Linked DNA regions of Arabidopsis thaliana. The protein of the gene in region 1 purifies or fractionates together with the protein of each later gene. This does not show direct contact. Each region holds a gene or a part of one and is shown in the gene's direction. Other genes may lie near its edges. The genes, in order: SRT2, RABE1b, AAC2 and BOU.

Region 1 (4,743 bases):
TGAGTAGCTTTTTGTGTTGAGTTTAAGGATGCAGCTGCGGCTTCACGCTCCTGCCGGATTCGCTCTCTCTGTAGAGATTCAATGTAACAACAGAGAAACAAACAAAACTAAAGTTAGTCAGTAATGACACAAGACGCCAGGAAACGGAGGGAAAAAAATAAAAATAACAGTAGAGTTATTTCGTGCTTGGTAATGCAACATGATCCAATTTGTTAGTTTACAATGTCGAAACTGAGAGCATACGTCATGCTACCTATGCAAATAACCTACTGTGCCAAGATAGTTAGCTCCAAGCAACTTGTATGACATTTTTCTGAGAAACAACAGACTCCATCATCTGAATAGTTAGCTAACAGTCTCAGTATTTAGTAATATAACTAGTTTGTATCTAAAATCTAAGCGAGAAGAGAACCAATATAGCTACCTATTTAACCACAGAACAAAAGAGGTTCGAGCCCTTAAAGAAATGTAAGCTAAATTGCCCTAGCAAAGCATCAGAATTAGTTACCATGATCATGAACCAGATGAGTTAATCTACACACTTGGGAGATACAGAAACATAATGAAAACAGGAAGTGATCATTGTATTTGTCTCCAAGTTAAAGTACACACTTGGAGACATTGGAACAATAACGAAAACAGAAATTGATATTATAGTCTTGAGAGTTTAAAATCTAAAACATACCCTTCTCTCCCAGTAAGGCAAGAAGCAGACAAAGTCATAGACTGGAGTAATGGTCTGCACCAACACAAAGTTTATTCCAGTGAAAAGCAAGAGTCCCTTCAACGGCCTTGTTCTGTGAGGCATATTTGTTCCAAGTCAAGAATCTTCAGCTCTGTAATTATTTAGTCCATATATCTCAATTACTACTACCATTAACTATACTGATTCAGTTGAATCCTATTATCTTCTCAAAACATAATCAAATTCAAAGTAAAAGCCTTTCCTAGTAAACGTTTCCATTCAACATTATTATTGCAGTTTGCTTCAAGTGACTTACCAGAGATTTTGAAATCAATTCTGAAGAAACTTCCATCAACAAATGTACATTCCTGTAGTAGAGAAAATTGAAAAACATCATTAAGTAGAAAATAATCGAATGATATAAACAAAAGTAATCTTTGGAATCATAAAGAACAATAAAGTACAGAATCGAGTTAATAAACTTGTTTCTCATACACAAGATAATAGAGGTATTAAGAATCAGTTAAAAAACACTACTAGAGTTCATAAAAACAATGAATCAAGAATAATCTAATGTGGCTCCAAGCAGCATACATATCCAAAAATAAACAAAGCACAAGTGATTACAAGCTCTACCAAAAAAAAAACAACCACTGATTCTGTGAGGCATTTCATCAAACACTTGGTTGGCAACAACAATAAGAACAGAGCAAGTGAAATTTGGACAAACCTACAAGCTGAAATCAAAGGAAGCATATGCGGAATCAACAATAACAACGAATAGCGAAGAACAAAGCGATGAAGTTGCATCAAGACAAAAATCGACGAGAGTCACATGAACGAATATTTGACAGAGAACTAACCAGGAGTAGCAGTCGAGAGAGAGATCGAAGCGAGGGAGAGATCGAAGCTAAAGAGAGAGAGCTTCGTCCGCAGAGAGAGAACAAAATCGACGTATGCGGTTTCTGTTTTATTCCAATAACGACGTCGTTTGCATTAGTGAACTATTCAACGGTGGATAATTGCGCTACGTGGCTACTTGCTTAGCCAATAATGAGTTTCAGACGTCCGATTTTTGCCACCTTGTCTTCAACAACAACAAAAAATTCTGGAAAAAAATAAAACGCAAAACTGAAGAAATCTCGTTTCATCCGCCATTAACGACCTCTCAAGGTAATCTTATTACTATATATGCTCTTGGGTATTAATTTCAATCTGTTAGCTTCTCGGTGAAAAACTCGATTGGTGGCTTTATTTTGATCTCAGTAGTACGATACTTTCTAGCTAGATCTTCTTCATTGAATGTAATTGGCTTATCATAGATTCATTTCTCCATTACTTTTTTTTGCTAGTGAAATTGTGATCATAGATTCATCTCTGCGATTTATTAGGCTTTCTATGAACATGAGAAGAGTGTTTGGAGGTGTATCTACAGGCAAGTATGAGAATAATGAATGTTCTTCCTCATCTTTGTGTCCTAGCTTGTTTTGATTCATTACTTACCTATGCAAATGCAATGAGTTAATAATGTTGCTGAGTTTTTCTTCTTTTCCTTCTTCTAGATTTGTTTCCGTCGCGAAGTATGTACCGGCCGCTGCAGTCTGGGGGAAACTTGGTTATGTTGTTTAAAGGATGCAGACGGTTTGTGAGAACAACGTGTCGCGTTTCGATCCCTGGTGGTTCTTTGGGGAATGAATCAAAAGCACCTCCAAGGTTTCTGAGGGATAGAAAGATTGTTCCAGATGCTGATCCCCCCAATATGGAAGATATCCACAAGTTGTATCGACTTTTTGAGCAAAGGTTGATATTTCCTTCACCATCTTTTTCCAGCAGTGAGCATACATGTGTTGTATCTAATGGCTTTCCTCTTCTCTTTTGGCAGCTCGAGACTCACCATCTTGACTGGAGCTGGGGTTAGCACAGAATGTGGAATTCCGGATTACAGAAGGTAATTCATTTGATCGATTAGTCTTGTCTGAAGATGCCTTGCATTCTCGTTTTGATGGTCTCATGGGTTACATGTGGTTCCATTTGATGATTTGGTGCAGTCCCAATGGAGCATACAGTTCTGGTTTCAAACCAATTACCCATCAGGTGATCTGAAGGCAAGATCTATGAAATCTTTACAGTTCTTAATGCAAACCTTGGATCATTTTACTATTGTATAACTGTATTAATCTATTGTCTACAACCTCCTTCACAGGAGTTTACTCGATCAAGCCGAGCTCGTAGGCGGTATTGGGCGAGGAGTTACGCTGGATGGAGGAGGTTCACTGCAGCACAACCAGGACCAGCTCATACTGCTTTAGCATCACTAGAAAAAGCTGGACGAATAAATTTTATGATCACACAAAATGTTGACAGGTATATCCTTCAGTTCCTCTTCCGTAGGATCTCTGTTGGATGTGAAGAATGTTGACTCTAAGCTCTAAGTTGTTAGGTTGCATCATCGTGCTGGGAGCGATCCACTTGAATTACATGGCACAGTATATACTGTTATGTGCTTAGAGTGCGGCTTCTCTTTTCCCCGAGACTTGTTTCAGGATCAGCTAAAAGCAATCAATCCTAAGGCCAGTGTATACCATAACCTGAATAAACTGGATTAATGTATCATCTCGCAAAGTTACAACGTTTTTGTTTCAACTGTAGTGGGCTGAAGCTATAGAAAGTATTGATCATGGAGATCCAGGATCAGAGAAGAGCTTTGGCATGAAACAAAGGCCTGATGGTGATATCGAGATTGACGAAAAGTTTTGGGAAGAGGGTTTTCATATACCAGTATGTGAGAAGTGCAAAGGAGTCCTAAAGCCTGATGTAAGATTGACTTAATCAGATAGAGACGAATCAGTTTAGCTCTGTTTCTTATTATGTTCTCGTTGAATTGAAGGTAATTTTCTTTGGAGACAACATCCCGAAGGAAAGAGCTACTCAAGCAATGGAAGTTGCAAAACAGAGCGATGCATTCCTCGTGTTGGGTTCATCCTTAATGACAATGTCTGCTTTTCGCCTTTGCAGGTGATGCAGGAGAATAATCATCCAGTTTTGAGTTTGCATCTTACTAAGAAGCTTTCTATATACCTTTTGCAGAGCGGCTCATGAGGCTGGTGCTATGACCGCAATTGTAAATATAGGCGAAACAAGAGCTGATGACATTGTTCCATTGAAAATCAATGCTAGGGTTGGTGAGGTATGAGCATAGCATAAAGCTCTTCCCTTTCCTTCAGCCTTGAAAATGCCTTAAATATCCATATTATTTCATGATTGTCAGCCTTAATAATTTGTCATTTCGTGATTGGTTTGCTGCAGATATTGCACAGAGTTCTTGACGTGGGATCGCTCAGTGTCCCAGCTCTCTAGCACAATGTCCGGATCATTTAAGTAAACTTTGGCAAGAGCTATGTTATCATTTAGATCACCTATATATATTATTTATAACTAATCAAAATGAATGCTTGTATTCCTGCAACGTATCTCAAGTTGTAAATCCAACATCAAATAAAAGAGTAATCAACATCAAATAATAGATTCAACACATGAACTAACTCGAAGCAGCTAACACTTGCAGAACATGGTGTTGTTCTGAAAAACAAACCAAAACAACCAAAGCCACCTTCCAATACCCGATTACACAAGCTTTTAAACCTCAGAAAGCTCAGAGAGGGCCTTATCGATATCCTCCTCATGGTTCCGAAGATCGTTCCACTGCATTAAGAAAAAGGTCTCGTGTAATAAGCAGGACATATGCACGTGTGGAAGACATAAACAATGGAAGAGAGATGTGAATACCTGTTCCAGGCTTAGAGAGATACCTGCAACATATAGGAGACATCGAAAATCTTGTCAACATGATTATGCAAAGAAAGCAAACTAATATAGCTGGCCCTAGGAGACAAAAACCAAGACGTTGTTGATGAAAAGAAAACACTCTGCGCATCTCCTCCTCTCAGTCCCAAACCGCAGAAGTACTAGATATATAATAAAAGTCCCTAAGATCTGCTAACTAAATGCAGAACCTTAACGAAACAAAACATGAAAACAAAGGGATGAGGATACATTGT
Region 2 (5,007 bases), on another chromosome or scaffold:
TTTATTCCTCCTTCTCCATCGGCCATTGATCTGAGTATTTTCAGATTCTTCCTCTCAAGTGAAAGCAACGATCCTGTCTCTTCTCTTTTAGAGTTTATCGATAGCTTTGTTTCCTAATTGAATTTCTGGTTAGATTCATTTATCCTTTTTGCCATTATTTTGAATTTTTTCTCTTTTCAACAATTTGAGATAGTAAAACGGGTTAAGTAGAAGACAGACGAATCGTTGCTAGTAATTAGCTTAATTGGCTACGATTGTAGTTATGATTCAATTAGAAGTGTTCTAATTTGTTTTAAAAAAAAAATCGAAACCCAACTTCGATTTTTTGACAGTCATGGAGTTAGAGAGATTCAGGGTAGGTCTTACTCCAACTGTATTCTACATTCCCGGTTTCATAACTGACGAAGAGCAAACTCAGCTCCTAAATCATGTAAAACTCTCCTCTCCAATTGTTTAAGCATTTGACATCTTGAGATTATATGTACTACCCTTTTGCTGTCTTGTAAGATATATGGAGCATCTGGTTCCAAGTGGAAGACATTAAAGAACAGAAGATTACAGAACTGGGGTACACTTGCTTTTACTTTTGTTTTCATTAGATTGTTTTTTTGGTTGTTGAAGAGACATAATAAAGTCTTGAGCTTTTGGTTTGTTTCTTCAGGTGGTATGGTCCATGAAAAGGGTCTTGTTCCACAAGAGTGTAAGTAAGAATGAAAAAAAGTCCAATCCAATCATTCTTGATTATCAAAGGTTCTAGATACTAGTGTATGTATATATGTATCTTTTCTCTTTGTTTCAGTGCCTCCCTGGCTGACAAAGATAACAGCGGAAATTCATGAAAGCTCGGGTCTGTTCCCTTCTGCTATAAATCATGTCCTCATCAATGAATACCATCCTGACCAAGGGATTATGGTCCGTTATCCGTCCTCTGATTATTTTGTTGGTTATGTTTTTGCTGTAAACGCAGCTTCTTACTCCAGTGGTTTTAGTTTCTGTGTAAAGTTCATGAGCAAGTTTTAGTTACTTTCCATGGTTGTTGTTTCCACAGCCGCATCAAGATGGACCCGCTTACTTTCCTGTTGTAGCTATCTTGTCTCTTGGCTCACCTGTTGTTATGGACTTCACTCCGCATTTGAGATTAAGATCAGGCGATGGTTACATTTCCAAAGACCAAAGTCCCTGTGCAGAGAGTTGTGCCCCTGAGAGAGACTCATTCTCTGTCTTGTTGATGCCTCAAAGCTTACTCATCTTCAAAGATGACGCATATTCAGGTAAATTGCTCATCTCCTTAATTGAACTACATAGAGTGAAAGAAGAGTAATCAGGAACATTTTAAAAACATCCAGTTGAAATTCATATTATCCTGTCTTGTTTTCAGATTTCCTCCACGGCATTAGCGATAGTCCAACACAATGTTACAACCAGGTACATACAACAATATAAAGCTCTTTATCATATTCGCATATATGTAAAATGGTAGTGAAATTAGTGTAAAAGGACAGTGATTTTACTGTGGTTCATGTTCTTCAGGTCGTTAATGAAGCTGAAGCTTTGGCTTACTCTAACGAAGAAGATTCAAGAAAAGATGGTGACAAGATTTTTCACAGAGACCAAACTCGAGTTTCACTTACTTGCCGTCTAGTTCCCAAAGTCCGTAAAAATCTCTTCAGATTCTAGCTTGCTTCCCTAATAACACTGGTTTTATCTTGTCGTTTATGACTGTAAAAAACGTTACGATTTGTGACGTGTGGAATATAAAACGCCACGATTTGTAGTTGCCGAAACATGAGGACAAAAAACTTGCAACGGATAGGATTAAATATGAGCCCTTCATTTTATTTTATTTTTTCTTATTTTTCTTCTAAAGAGATAACATCACTATACAATCTCACTCTATCCCCAAATCTTCTCCTTCTCCAAAAAAATTTCAAACCCTAGCTTCTCGATTTCTCTCCTCTGCTCTCCAATTCCATCTTCCCATGGCGATTTCGGCTCCAGCCGCTTGTTCTTCCTCCTCTAGAATTCTCTGTTCCTACTCCTCTCCTTCTCCTTCTCTCTGTCCCGCCATTTCCACCTCTGGTAAACTCAAAACCCTAACTCTCTCTTCCTCCTTCCTCCCTTCTTACTCATTAACCACCACCTCCGCTTCTCAATCCACTCGTCGCTCCTTCACCGTCCGCGCCGCTCGTGGAAAGTTCGAGAGGAAGAAGCCTCATGTCAACATCGGAACCATCGGTCATGTTGACCATGGGAAAACTACTTTAACCGCAGCTCTAACCATGGCTCTCGCTTCCATTGGTTCCAGCGTCGCTAAAAAGTACGACGAGATTGACGCTGCGCCGGAGGAGAGAGCTCGTGGTATCACAATCAACACTGCTACTGTTGAGTACGAGACTGAGAATCGTCACTACGCTCACGTTGATTGTCCTGGTCACGCTGATTACGTTAAGAATATGATTACCGGAGCTGCACAGATGGACGGAGCTATCCTCGTTGTTTCCGGCGCCGATGGTCCTATGCCTCAGACTAAAGAGCATATCCTTTTGGCTAAGCAGGTTGGTGTTCCTGATATGGTTGTGTTTCTTAACAAAGAGGATCAAGTAGATGATGCAGAGTTGCTAGAGCTCGTTGAGCTTGAGGTTCGTGAGCTTCTCTCGTCTTATGAATTTAACGGTGATGATATTCCGATTATCTCTGGTTCTGCTCTTTTAGCCGTTGAGACTCTTACTGAGAATCCTAAGGTTAAGAGAGGTGATAACAAATGGGTAGATAAGATTTATGAACTTATGGATGCTGTTGATGATTACATCCCTATCCCTCAGAGACAAACTGAATTGCCATTCTTGTTAGCTGTTGAGGATGTGTTCTCTATCACTGGACGTGGTACGGTGGCTACAGGGCGTGTCGAGAGAGGTACGGTTAAGGTAGGAGAGACTGTAGATTTAGTGGGTTTGAGGGAGACTAGGAGTTACACTGTCACTGGGGTTGAAATGTTTCAGAAGATTCTTGATGAGGCTTTAGCTGGTGACAATGTAGGGTTGTTGCTTAGGGGTATTCAAAAGGCTGATATTCAGAGAGGTATGGTTTTAGCTAAGCCGGGATCGATTACTCCACATACCAAGTTTGAAGCAATTATCTATGTGTTGAAGAAAGAGGAAGGTGGAAGGCATTCTCCATTCTTTGCAGGGTACAGGCCTCAGTTCTACATGAGGACGACTGATGTTACGGGTAAAGTGACGAAGATCATGAACGACAAAGATGAAGAGTCGAAGATGGTTATGCCCGGTGATCGAGTGAAGATTGTTGTTGAGCTTATTGTGCCGGTGGCTTGTGAACAAGGGATGAGGTTTGCTATCAGAGAAGGAGGAAAGACTGTTGGTGCTGGAGTTATTGGGACGATCCTCGAATGATTATAAGGTTTTAGAGAGTTTCATATAGTGAGCATCTCTACTTGCTTTCTTTTTGTTTCACTCTTGATTCTCAAACTCTTTGAGTTTTTACCTTTTTTTATTTATTTTTGTGCCATTTTCCATAAGAACTTGAAATCAAAATGTCATATATTTCTTGATTTTCTGATCCTTGTTATTCATCTTTGTCTCGCTCCATATGATTCTGATGTGGATTTGGTACTCAACGACCAATCACTTAATTTGAAACCACTGTGGGCAGATTACATCAACAATTCAAGGAGATTGCAGAATATAACATAAAGAACTTAAAGAGGAAAGTTGAAATGTGAAGAGATAATGAAGAAGAGGAAAGAGAGAGCTTATGGAATGCGACCACCACCTCTGCCACTGAAAGATGGGCCTGCATCGATCTCACCATTTGTTTGATAACTCCTCATTCTTCTCCCTAACAAATAACAATCATTATTATTGTTAGTTTTCATGGAAGACAATAATTTACTAAGTCATACGACTTGACATATGTGTAGTGTAGAGTGTAAAATATATATACTATGAGAGTCTATGGAACACTAACCAGCTCTTGGGAGTGATTCTTGTTTAGAAGCAAGAACAAGACTGTTGCAACGAAGAAGAAGCAGAAGCACCATAAAGAACACAAAACCCAACTGTGAAAAAACCTGCTTTACCATTTTGCTCAATATCTATGATTCTATATTGGTTTTTCGTATTTTTTAAAGTGTTGTGTATATATAGAGAGATAGTAGACGCTGATTAGAGATATGGTTTATTTTAATAGGATTTGTTTAATGAAAGATTCGCAATACAGAGTGACATGATAAGTAATGAGATGGACACAAGGAATCTCACGTGTCCTCATCTTCCAACTTGTTCTTCCAATGGTGAGCTCTTATCTTCTATAAATCTATAAAAATATATATAATCTCTTTCTTAATTTTGATCTTCGAGGCTTTTGATGTAGACCCGTGAGGATAGAGAAAAAATAGTTCTAAGACAGAGCCAAAAGGACACCCCTTTTAAGTCAGTGGCACAAGATTTTAAGATTATTTGCAAGGTTGACCATATACTTCATTAAACTTGAGAGATCAAGTTTGTGACATCAGTAGAGTTTATACAAGAATATGAAGAAGCTGCTTTCTTTTCATGCAAGAAATATTAAGTTTCATGTCTTAGATCCCGAGCTGCAAAAAAAGAGTTAAAGATGTTTGAAATTAATGCAATGAAGTATCCACGAGAATCTTTATAGTCTCATGCAAATGATGTGAACTCAAATCTATGTTCAAACTCACTCTTGTTGTTGGCGGTAGTACAGAGCGAACACTCTCAACGGGTGTGAGTATGATTCTTCTGATTGACATTGCAGTAACTAACCTGGTTAGTGAGATCTTCTGTTTCCTCTTGAGACACCATCTCTATCTGCAAAAACATGACACAGCCAATCTTTGTGATTGAACCAGGCTTAAAAGCATGCTCTTAAAGATATTTTTTGTGATATTTTGTACCGTCATCATTATCAGTGAGAACTTGACCTTTGGGATTCAAGAACCTTCAAAGCTGCAAAACCCAAAAAAGAAAGAAG
Region 3 (4,535 bases), 1.5 Mb from region 1:
AAACGCTAGCATTTCTACTGATCCGAAGCTCTCTTGGGCCCAACTGACCAAAAAGCTCAATAAGGGGACCAAGGCTTGTCCAATAATCAAACCAGAAAGAGGCTTTCATACCGTCTCGCATCTGACATTTAATCAATCTCTGGAACACAGATTTTACTTCCAACATCTTCCTAATGTTCCAAGATAGACGTGGTGTGCTATCCATCAACCAATAGTTCCTTCTTCCGAAGATGTTATGGTCCAACCACATAACCCACAATGAGCCCCTTCTAGTAAAGAGGTGCCAAACCTGTTTCAACCTGAAAACAGTAGCAAATTCCTCAAGAGATCGAATACCTAACCCACCCTCCTCTTTTGTCTTACAAATGTCCTTCCAAGCAACTCTTGCACCTCTTGCAGACGAAGTAGTATTTTTCCACAAAAAAGCAGAGCAGAGATTGTCAATTTTCTTATAAAAACCCTTTGGTAGAACAAAGACTTGACTCCAGAAGTTCACTTTCCCATAAACAACAGATACTATTAACCGGATTTTCCCAGCATAAGAGAGAAACTTGGTTGTCCAGGAGTTAAGCTGCTCGGTAATCTTTTGAATAAAAGGTTGAAGTGTGGCAAGAGAAAGCTTAGTCGGGTTCAGCGGCAAGCCAAGATACCGAGAGGGAAAAACACCTATTCGAATCCCAATCAAGTCAGCAATAACAGCAGCTTCAGAATCCCCATAACCTCCAAAAAACAGCTCAGACTTTGAAGGGTTCATGTCCAAACCGGAAAAGGAATGGAAAGTTTGCAGTATACCACTAATACCAAGGAGAGAGTGCTGAGAACCATCTGAGAAAACCAATAAATCATCTGCGAAAGCTAGATGAGTTAGGCGAGGAGTGATACACAAAGGATGAGCAGAAAACTTGCCCTCCAACAGCCCACTGTCCAACATTCTGGATAACACCTCCATTACCAAAATAAAGAGATAAGGAGAGATACAATCACCTTGCCTTAAACATGCCTTTATGTGAAGATGAACATATTGACTGATCTTGCACCTTTCCATTTTCAACATGCCTTTATGTGAAGATGAACAAACATGAGCTGAAAACAAAGAAGGTGAAGCACAACCAAAGTGACATAGCATACTTTAGAGCTAGATAGAAGACGTGGGATTTAGAGCTCTTCAAGAGTCAAGGCAAATACATTTGGACTGGGATGAGGCAGCATCACAAGCCTTCCCAACCATTACTGAATCACTTCGACATTCGAAATTCTGACTCAAAACATATGACACCCTGAAGATGACCATTATAGCGATCCACTAAAATTTTGTACAACTAGCCGACGGAGGAGGAGGCGAGGAACGTAACACTGGTGGACTGATATTGTGTTTTTGTTCTTTTTTTTTTTTTTTTCCAAAACACCATTTTTTTTTGTAAATATACTGTTGGTCAAAACAAATATTAAAGATTAAAGCACTTTGACCAAAACAAAATATAAACTAAGAAATATTTGAAACGTTACCCTGTAGACAGTTGACTACAAAAACCCGTCAATGGCCAATAACATTCCAGATTTCCGGCGCCAAATAGGTGGCATGATCTACGGCCGATAACGCAGTCGTATACTTCCATAATTATATTATTCATTTTAGCAATTACAATCAACGGCTCACAATTTCAATCTCGATGATCTAACGGTCCTACAGTCCCCGAGTGTATAGAATAGTGCGTTACACTTGATTCTTTCTAGTGTGACCCTATTTCTGGAGCCAATAAAAGGCTCGTGTCAAAACTCGCCTCTTCCCCACAAAGAGAATTCTCTCATTTCTTCTTCTTCGCTCAGCTCCGACAACGAAGGGCGAAGAATCTCGCTCCCTCAATTTCGCATTGCCATCGATTTTCTTAGGTAATTCTGGTTACTCTGAGATCTCTATCGCTTTAAATCTCGTTGTTTATCTCTGTTCTTCATTTGATTCTATTGATCTGCTTCACAGTCTTATATATCATCAACAAGGTAAAATGATTCGTTTCGTCTTGATGATCTCATGGTTTCTCTGCGTAATCCTAGATTGAATGTAGTGTAGATCTCGTGTGGAGTGTGAATGTATCGAGATCCTGGATTATTCGGCTCTGTTACTCTTATTTTCCGCCATTAAGTTACACTGTTGTATGGATCTGTTTAACCTAAATTTTCTGCGTCTGAATGTGTTCATGGTTTAGTTTCTGATTGCATCGTTTCTACATGTAGCCTCTCTTATGCTTAATGGTGGATAAGTGTTCTATTCCACTGGAGATGCACAATTGCTTTTACTGCACTTTATAGCATATTCCATTTCTTACACTACGGGTTGTTTAATTTTGTAGAGGTTAAAATGGTTGAACAGACTCAGCACCCCACGATTCTTCAGAAGGTTTCTGGCCAACTCTTGAGCTCGAGTGTTTCTCAGGACATTCGTGGTTATGCTTCGGCTTCCAAAAGGCCTGCTACATACCAGAAACATGCAGCTTACGGAAACTACTCCAATGCTGCATTTCAATATCCTCTTGTGGCTGCATCTCAGATTGCAACTACTACTTCTCCTGTGTTTGTCCAAGCTCCAGGAGAGAAGGGATTTACTAACTTTGCTATTGATTTCATGATGGGTGGTGTTTCTGCTGCTGTGTCAAAGACTGCTGCTGCTCCCATTGAGCGTGTCAAGCTTTTGATTCAAAACCAGGATGAGATGCTTAAGGCTGGAAGGCTTACTGAGCCATACAAGGGTATTCGTGACTGTTTCGGCAGGACAATTAGGGATGAAGGTATTGGTTCGTTGTGGAGAGGAAACACCGCTAATGTTATCCGTTACTTCCCCACTCAGGTTGGTTTAGTTTCACTTCTTTGCTTTTTTAAAATGTCTTAGTTATATATGATGTATTGGTTACTGATCTATCTCTCACTTGCTAGGCCTTGAACTTTGCATTCAAAGATTACTTCAAGAGGCTTTTCAACTTCAAGAAAGACAAGGATGGCTACTGGAAGTGGTTTGCTGGTAACTTGGCATCTGGAGGTGCTGCTGGTGCCTCTTCCCTTCTCTTTGTGTACTCTCTTGACTATGCACGTACCCGTCTTGCCAATGACTCCAAGTCTGCCAAGAAGGGAGGAGGTGAAAGGCAGTTCAATGGTCTTGTTGATGTCTACAAGAAGACCCTCAAGTCAGATGGTATTGCTGGACTTTACCGTGGTTTCAACATCTCGTGTGCTGGTATCATTGTCTACCGTGGTCTCTACTTTGGACTGTACGACTCTGTGAAGCCTGTCCTCCTCACTGGAGACCTGCAGGTTTGTTTGAGCTCTATTCTTATATATCTGTAAGGTGACAGCTTAAGAAATCAGGGATCCTGATTCTAATGTTGTTATTTCTTTCCTTGCTGGATATTTCAGGACAGTTTCTTCGCTAGTTTTGCTCTTGGATGGCTCATCACCAATGGTGCGGGTCTTGCGTCGTACCCGATTGACACGGTTAGAAGAAGAATGATGATGACATCAGGTGAAGCGGTGAAGTACAAGAGCTCATTTGATGCGTTCTCACAGATCGTGAAGAAGGAAGGAGCCAAGTCTCTGTTCAAGGGTGCGGGTGCCAACATCCTGCGTGCCGTTGCAGGTGCTGGTGTGCTTGCTGGCTACGACAAGCTGCAGTTAATCGTCTTCGGCAAGAAGTATGGATCTGGAGGTGCCTAAGTACCACCAAATCCCGCAGTCATTAAGCTTCGGCTTTTGTTTTTTTCTCCATTTTTTTTGCAGTTTCAGATTTCTTTTATAAAAAAGATGTTGATGAAATCATTTCCCCATAAAATTAGAGAGGAGCAAGGGGAAATATTATCTGTTCGACGATAAGGTTTTTGTTATATGGAATAAATTTTGTATGGGAGGGAGATTTGACTCCTTCGAACCAGGCTATGTTTTATATGGTGAGGATGTCCCTTTTTATTTTGTTGCTACCGTTGTTGCGGAAGGAAACGTCACTATGTTATTGAAGATTTTACTAACGCGTATTGATGGAAATGTAAGGCGTGGAAAGGTACCACCGTCAAGAAGAGTTCAATGAACCAAGACAAATATCTCTTTAACGTAAAAATGACAGCTACGATCAGATCCTGGCGAGTGGCACGTTTCCACCAAAACACACGAAATAATATGAAGACATATAGAAATAGATAGTTCATATAATCAAATCAGATTGAACGTCGCAAACCAAATCTCAAGTTGTATTATTACCCAACTTACCAAAAAAAAAAGCAGTATTATTGCCCATACTAATTTCTAAAGCATGTTAATTATGTGTGCTAACTTCGATTCACGTATTAGGTTTTTCTTCTTTAATATTCCATGTTTTTTTCTTAAACGTGGTATGCCACAACACTTGCACTTCCTATATTTTTTTCCTGAAATTATATTCAAAGCCATCAGGAGAATTCTTTGGTTTTGATTGGCACGATCCAAAGACACACATTTTGTCAAATCATTTTCGACGACTGTTATTAATAATTAATTCGTTAATGACGCACCGTTAG
Region 4 (4,550 bases), about 16 Mb from region 1:
CACAGAGGTGTTCGCAAAACCGGCTCCAAGAAAGAGTCTCCTATCAATTTGAACGAAACCCTTACATTTTATATTGTAACATCCGCTTTCGAATGTATCTTGCTGCAAAAAACGATTTGGGGTTAAAGAAGAGAAAAAAAAAATCTACTTTCTTGTGATAGGGACAGACGATAATTGGTGACATTGTTACTCACACTCCAGTATGCAGTAAGTCGTGTACGGCTATCGCCATATAGTGCAGGAATCACCTTAATATATTTCATACGTAGTAAAAAAAAAAAGTTATCAGTAAAACTTTTAACCATGATATTTATTCAAATGAACTAATTATACATATGCTAAATGATGGTTGCATTAAGTGGGTTTAATTTTGATCTAGTATATCACGATTTAAAAAAACAAAACAAAAAATTAAATTCTTACAGCCCAACCAAAGTGGGCACTGGTGCGTTCGCCTTCATACTCAGTATTGAGCCAAATGAAAGCCATGCTGAATTGCTCTTTATTTGTCAATTTAGGTTGGTAAATACTTATCCATGCTGATGCTCCACGCCACGGGGTGGCATCGATTTTCTTCATTACCGCAGCCTGTATATATATACACATCAGTTTTTTCAAAAAAAAAATACACATCAAATGGTTTGGATCATATATAGTAAAGGTATAAAATTTTAGTCACTTCACATGTTGACCAACAGTTCCAAATCCATTAATAGGCTGAAAATGTTTCTCGGTGTGGTTGAAATTATTTCTTGGTTTATGGATTGGTACTTGTCCTTGAGGACATCCTTCTTCTGGTATATCAAACTCAGCAACCATTTCATCGTTTGATAAGTTTTCTGATGATGTATCTCCTGAGAGCATGGCTAAGGCTTCATCGCTCGGTCTCATCTATGTGATGCATCAAAAAATATATCAATCAAATAGGGATAAGTATATGATCATGATAAACATTAGGTGCAGGAAATCGACAAACAAATGTAAATATATAGAAATATACTTGGATTCGGTGATTTTGGAGTTTAGGGTGTTGTAGCGAAGGTTGTTTGTAGATATCAACGCATTCGTATTCAGGTTCTTGAGGCTACAAGATATGAGAATTTTTTTTAACTTTATTTGTATTATATATTTAAGTTTATATCAAAGTGCTTACAAAATGGTGACAGACCTTAGTATTTTGAGACCTTCCATGGAAGCAAAGTAATGAAAGAGAGAATATGATGATCAACAACCAAGGAGAAGCCATTTGCTTAGTTTGCATATTTTCTATGTTCAGCCGTTGAGGCGGAGCCAATGTATATATAGGGAAGGTGGTCATCTGAAAATTCTTAATTATAAGGTAATTTACTTAATAATATTAATTCTTAAATGTTTTTGTATAAAAATTTTCATGTTGATGCCATATGATCATTTCCTACCTTTGACCCCATTCATAATATTCTTTTGAGAAAAGAACTTATTGACCCAATATATTAAATTAGTAATATTTTTAATTAGTAAACTAATTCATAAAATATAAAGTTAATTGAGTTATTTTCATACCTAAAATACCTTATATTGTTTTGTTAGGCTTATAACAGCTTCAACAATTCCGGATGAGCTTGGGCTGAACAAGAACTCCACGGCCCATCTTCAAACATAGAAACCCAATCAGCTCCAAACCAGCTCAATCCTTAAACCAAATTGGAATCCTGAACCACACATACGTTATACGTTAACCGACCGATTAAGCTGATCGAACGTCTGACCAGCCAAACTGATCTTCATTTTTCACCAACCACACTTAAAACAAAAACGTTTTCTCTTAAAGAAAATTTAAAGAGACAAAACAAACAAACAAAACTTCAGTCTCTGCAAAGCTCCATCCTTTGTGGTTGTGTCGTAGATAGCCATTCGAGTGGTTAAAAGTTAAAAACTTTTATGTCCACTTGAATCCTTTTTTGTTTCTTTTTGGATTTTATCTGATCACTCGTTTTGTGTCTCTGAATCTCTATCCCGTGGATTCGCATCTGGATTTGTTTTTTTTTCATTTTTATTCGAGCGGCTAACCTTTCTCGGATCCATCTGATATCGATTGGATTCTCTCTAATCAATCGTTGGTAAGCTAATATTTAATCACTTTTGATTGAATTTTCCTTCTGGGTTTTTGATCTGATTTCACCTCATTGTCTTATGAATCCACCATTTGAGTTCTAGGGATTAAAAGATTCAAACTTTCTCAGAGACAACTGAGGAAAAATGACATGTTTTTAGAGTTTGAGTTTGGTTACATTTTCAGGTTTTGTTAAGATTTCTCTCATTGTCTTCTGAATCCTTTGATTTGGTAATGATTGGAAATGATCATAAGATTCCTACTTTCTTGGAAGCAAAATAAAAATATCCACTTTTTATGAGAAAAACTCTTTGAAACGTCTTTGTTATATTCAAACTTGGTTTGTTTATACGTTTTGATTGGCTAAGTGGTTCAGGTCACAAGTGACAAAAGTACTGATTTTGGATGATGATATAGTTGGTTTAAGTGGTTAGGTTATAAGTTAATCTTGACTCTTGAAGGATTATTCATTAACAAAAAGTAGTGAGTTTGGTTGGTTTATGAAACATTTGGTTAGTTAAAGTGGTTTAGGTCACAAGTTAAATGACAAGTATTCATTAACAAAGGTTTTGATTTTGGTTTGTTCTGAGAAAATTGTTTCAAGTGGTGTAAAACTTATTCTTAATTAACAAAAACTTTTGATTTTTTTGGTTGATTCTGAGAAATTTGATTGATTTATTGTTTCTTAGAAATGGCGGATGCGTGGAAGGATTTAGCTTCAGGGACTGTTGGAGGAGCTGCTCAACTAGTTGTTGGTCATCCATTTGACACTATCAAGGTCAAACTTCAGAGCCAACCGACTCCAGCACCAGGCCAACTTCCAAGGTACACCGGTGCAATCGATGCGGTTAAACAGACCGTTGCTTCTGAAGGAACCAAAGGTTTGTATAAAGGTATGGGAGCTCCACTTGCAACCGTTGCTGCCTTCAATGCGGTTTTGTTCACTGTGAGAGGTCAAATGGAAGGGCTGCTTAGGTCTGAAGCTGGAGTTCCTTTGACCATTAGTCAACAGTTTGTGGCCGGTGCAGGCGCTGGTTTCGCTGTTTCGTTCCTTGCTTGTCCTACCGAGTTGATCAAGTGCAGGTTAGGTTCTTTTTACATGTATTACCAATCAGAGCCTATATATACATGTGCTTTTAACTCAAGCTCTAGACTGAAACAGAACTAAAACATGTCTCTTTGTGTGTGTGTTTAATCTTGTTTCTCCATCAGGTTGCAAGCACAAGGTGCATTAGCTGGTGCCTCTACTACAAGCTCAGTGGTTGCAGCCGTGAAATACGGTGGACCAATGGATGTAGCCCGTCATGTCCTACGATCAGAAGGAGGAGCACGAGGTCTATTCAAAGGTTTATTCCCTACATTCGCCCGTGAAGTCCCGGGAAATGCAACAATGTTTGCAGCCTACGAAGCTTTCAAGCGGTTTTTAGCCGGTGGTTCAGACACTTCAAGCTTAGGACAAGGGTCATTGATCATGGCGGGTGGAGTCGCTGGTGCTTCTTTTTGGGGAATAGTATATCCGACAGATGTTGTGAAGAGTGTTCTTCAAGTCGACGATTACAAAAACCCGAGATACACGGGGTCGATGGATGCTTTTCGGAAGATTCTGAAATCTGAAGGAGTTAAAGGTTTGTATAAAGGATTTGGTCCAGCTATGGCTAGGAGTGTTCCTGCTAATGCTGCTTGCTTCTTGGCTTATGAGATGACAAGGTCAAGCTTGGGATAAACCGGTTCGGTTTGGGTTTAACTGTTGGTTCGATTTCTGAATGTTCCATTGCGATTAACCTCTCTGTTTTTAGATTTGATTCTTAAAAAATTTCTGCAAAATTTATGTACCATTTACACAGTTTATTTCAGTATTTCTTACACAGAAGAACTAGTGGTTGACATTAACATTTTAACCGAATTGAACCGAACAAAAACAGAATCGGATGGTAACTAAATCAAACTAAACCGAACTTAGTGATTTAAGAGTTCGCTAAGGGGTTTGTTTAAGGGTTTAATCTATAAAAATTAGGTTTATATTGTGGGGTTACGAATTTAAAGTTTTTAGCCTTTTAGGTGTTTATAATATAGGGGTTTAATTTTTCTATTTTTGGTTTATAAATTGGAGTTAATATTTATATTTAGACTATTTTGTTAATTTAAATTAAATAACAGATTAGCGTATGACTCTGTACAAGTAGAGAGTGTCAACAGGAAAAAAAGGAGGGAACTCAACTGCTTTTTCCTTTATCGTCTTACATTTTTTTACTTATCTATATAACTTTTTCCACTATATAAACCAAAAAAATAATATCACATGTTAGAGAAATCCCAAAAAAATAACAAGTCTTATGGAGACGATTGAGCAACAAAAACATTCACTCTCTTCTTTGCCTATGCTCTCTAGGCTTGAACACTTGGATTTCGTTGTAAATTGTTTTTTTTGTCTTTGGTTCCTAAGTTAAGAAAACATACA

Evidence for each region.
Region 2: the proteins of SRT2 (region 1) and RABE1b purify together in Arabidopsis thaliana (affinity purification with mass spectrometry, with the first as the bait; one study listed by BioGRID). This does not show direct contact.
Region 3: the proteins of SRT2 (region 1) and AAC2 purify together in Arabidopsis thaliana (affinity purification with mass spectrometry, with the first as the bait; one study listed by BioGRID). This does not show direct contact.
Region 4: the proteins of SRT2 (region 1) and BOU purify together in Arabidopsis thaliana (affinity purification with mass spectrometry, with the first as the bait; one study listed by BioGRID). This does not show direct contact.

Annotation. Positions count from the first base shown.
Region 1 is NC_003076.8:2,869,572-2,874,314, forward strand, and holds SRT2 (sirtuin 2), read left to right. Parts: upstream 1-1,836; 5' UTR 1,837-1,987; coding exon 1,988-1,989; exon of another isoform or gene 1,990-2,076; coding exon 2,077-2,120; intron 2,121-2,247; coding exon 2,248-2,485; intron 2,486-2,567; coding exon 2,568-2,633; intron 2,634-2,733; coding exon 2,734-2,779; coding exon of another isoform or gene 2,780-2,790; intron 2,791-2,888; coding exon 2,889-3,049; intron 3,050-3,125; coding exon 3,126-3,255; intron 3,256-3,334; coding exon 3,335-3,499; intron 3,500-3,572; coding exon 3,573-3,700; coding exon of another isoform or gene 3,701-3,704; exon of another isoform or gene 3,705-3,772; coding exon 3,773-3,872; intron 3,873-3,991; coding exon 3,992-4,042; 3' UTR 4,043-4,208; downstream 4,209-4,743. Other genes in the region: AT5G09225 (uncharacterized protein), read right to left, coding at 1-68, 686-808; AT5G09240 (ssDNA-binding transcriptional regulator), read right to left, coding at 4,322-4,494. UniProt on the Arabidopsis thaliana protein: NAD-dependent protein deacylase. Catalyzes the NAD-dependent hydrolysis of acyl groups from lysine residues.
Region 2 is NC_003075.7:10,988,057-10,993,063, forward strand, and holds RABE1b (RAB GTPase homolog E1B), read left to right. Parts: upstream 1-1,895; 5' UTR 1,896-1,979; coding exon 1,980-3,410; 3' UTR 3,411-3,437; exon of another isoform or gene 3,438-3,855; intron 3,856-3,984; exon of another isoform or gene 3,985-4,186; intron 4,187-4,206; 3' UTR 4,207-4,309; intron 4,310-4,389; 3' UTR 4,390-4,453; downstream 4,454-5,007. Other genes in the region: AT4G20350 (oxidoreductase), read left to right, coding at 335-430, 508-568, 662-700, 800-912, 1,049-1,271, 1,379-1,425, 1,531-1,677. UniProt on the Arabidopsis thaliana protein: This protein promotes the GTP-dependent binding of aminoacyl-tRNA to the A-site of ribosomes during protein biosynthesis.
Region 3 is NC_003076.8:4,333,678-4,338,212, forward strand, and holds AAC2 (ADP/ATP carrier 2), read left to right. Parts: upstream 1-1,594; 5' UTR 1,595-1,890; intron 1,891-1,917; exon of another isoform or gene 1,918-1,998; intron 1,999-2,348; 5' UTR 2,349-2,356; coding exon 2,357-2,842; intron 2,843-2,928; coding exon 2,929-3,303; intron 3,304-3,405; coding exon 3,406-3,702; 3' UTR 3,703-4,017; downstream 4,018-4,535. UniProt on the Arabidopsis thaliana protein: ADP:ATP antiporter that mediates import of ADP into the mitochondrial matrix for ATP synthesis, and export of ATP out to fuel the cell.
Region 4 is NC_003076.8:18,988,044-18,992,593, reverse strand, and holds BOU (Mitochondrial substrate carrier family protein), read left to right. Parts: upstream 1-1,726; 5' UTR 1,727-2,099; exon of another isoform or gene 2,100-2,323; intron 2,324-2,781; 5' UTR 2,782-2,783; coding exon 2,784-3,175; intron 3,176-3,304; coding exon 3,305-3,815; 3' UTR 3,816-4,006; downstream 4,007-4,550. Other genes in the region: AT5G46810 (carboxyl-terminal proteinase-like protein, putative (DUF239)), read right to left, coding at 1-102, 195-248, 424-588, 685-891, 1,001-1,084, 1,419-1,430; MSP2 (microspore-specific promoter 2), read left to right, coding at 4,426-4,503. UniProt on the Arabidopsis thaliana protein: Involved in photorespiratory metabolism. Acts probably as a carrier for a glycine decarboxylase (GDC) cofactor or, alternatively, may act as a mitochondrial glycine shuttle. Involved in the transition from the embryonic stage to the juvenile autotrophic stage.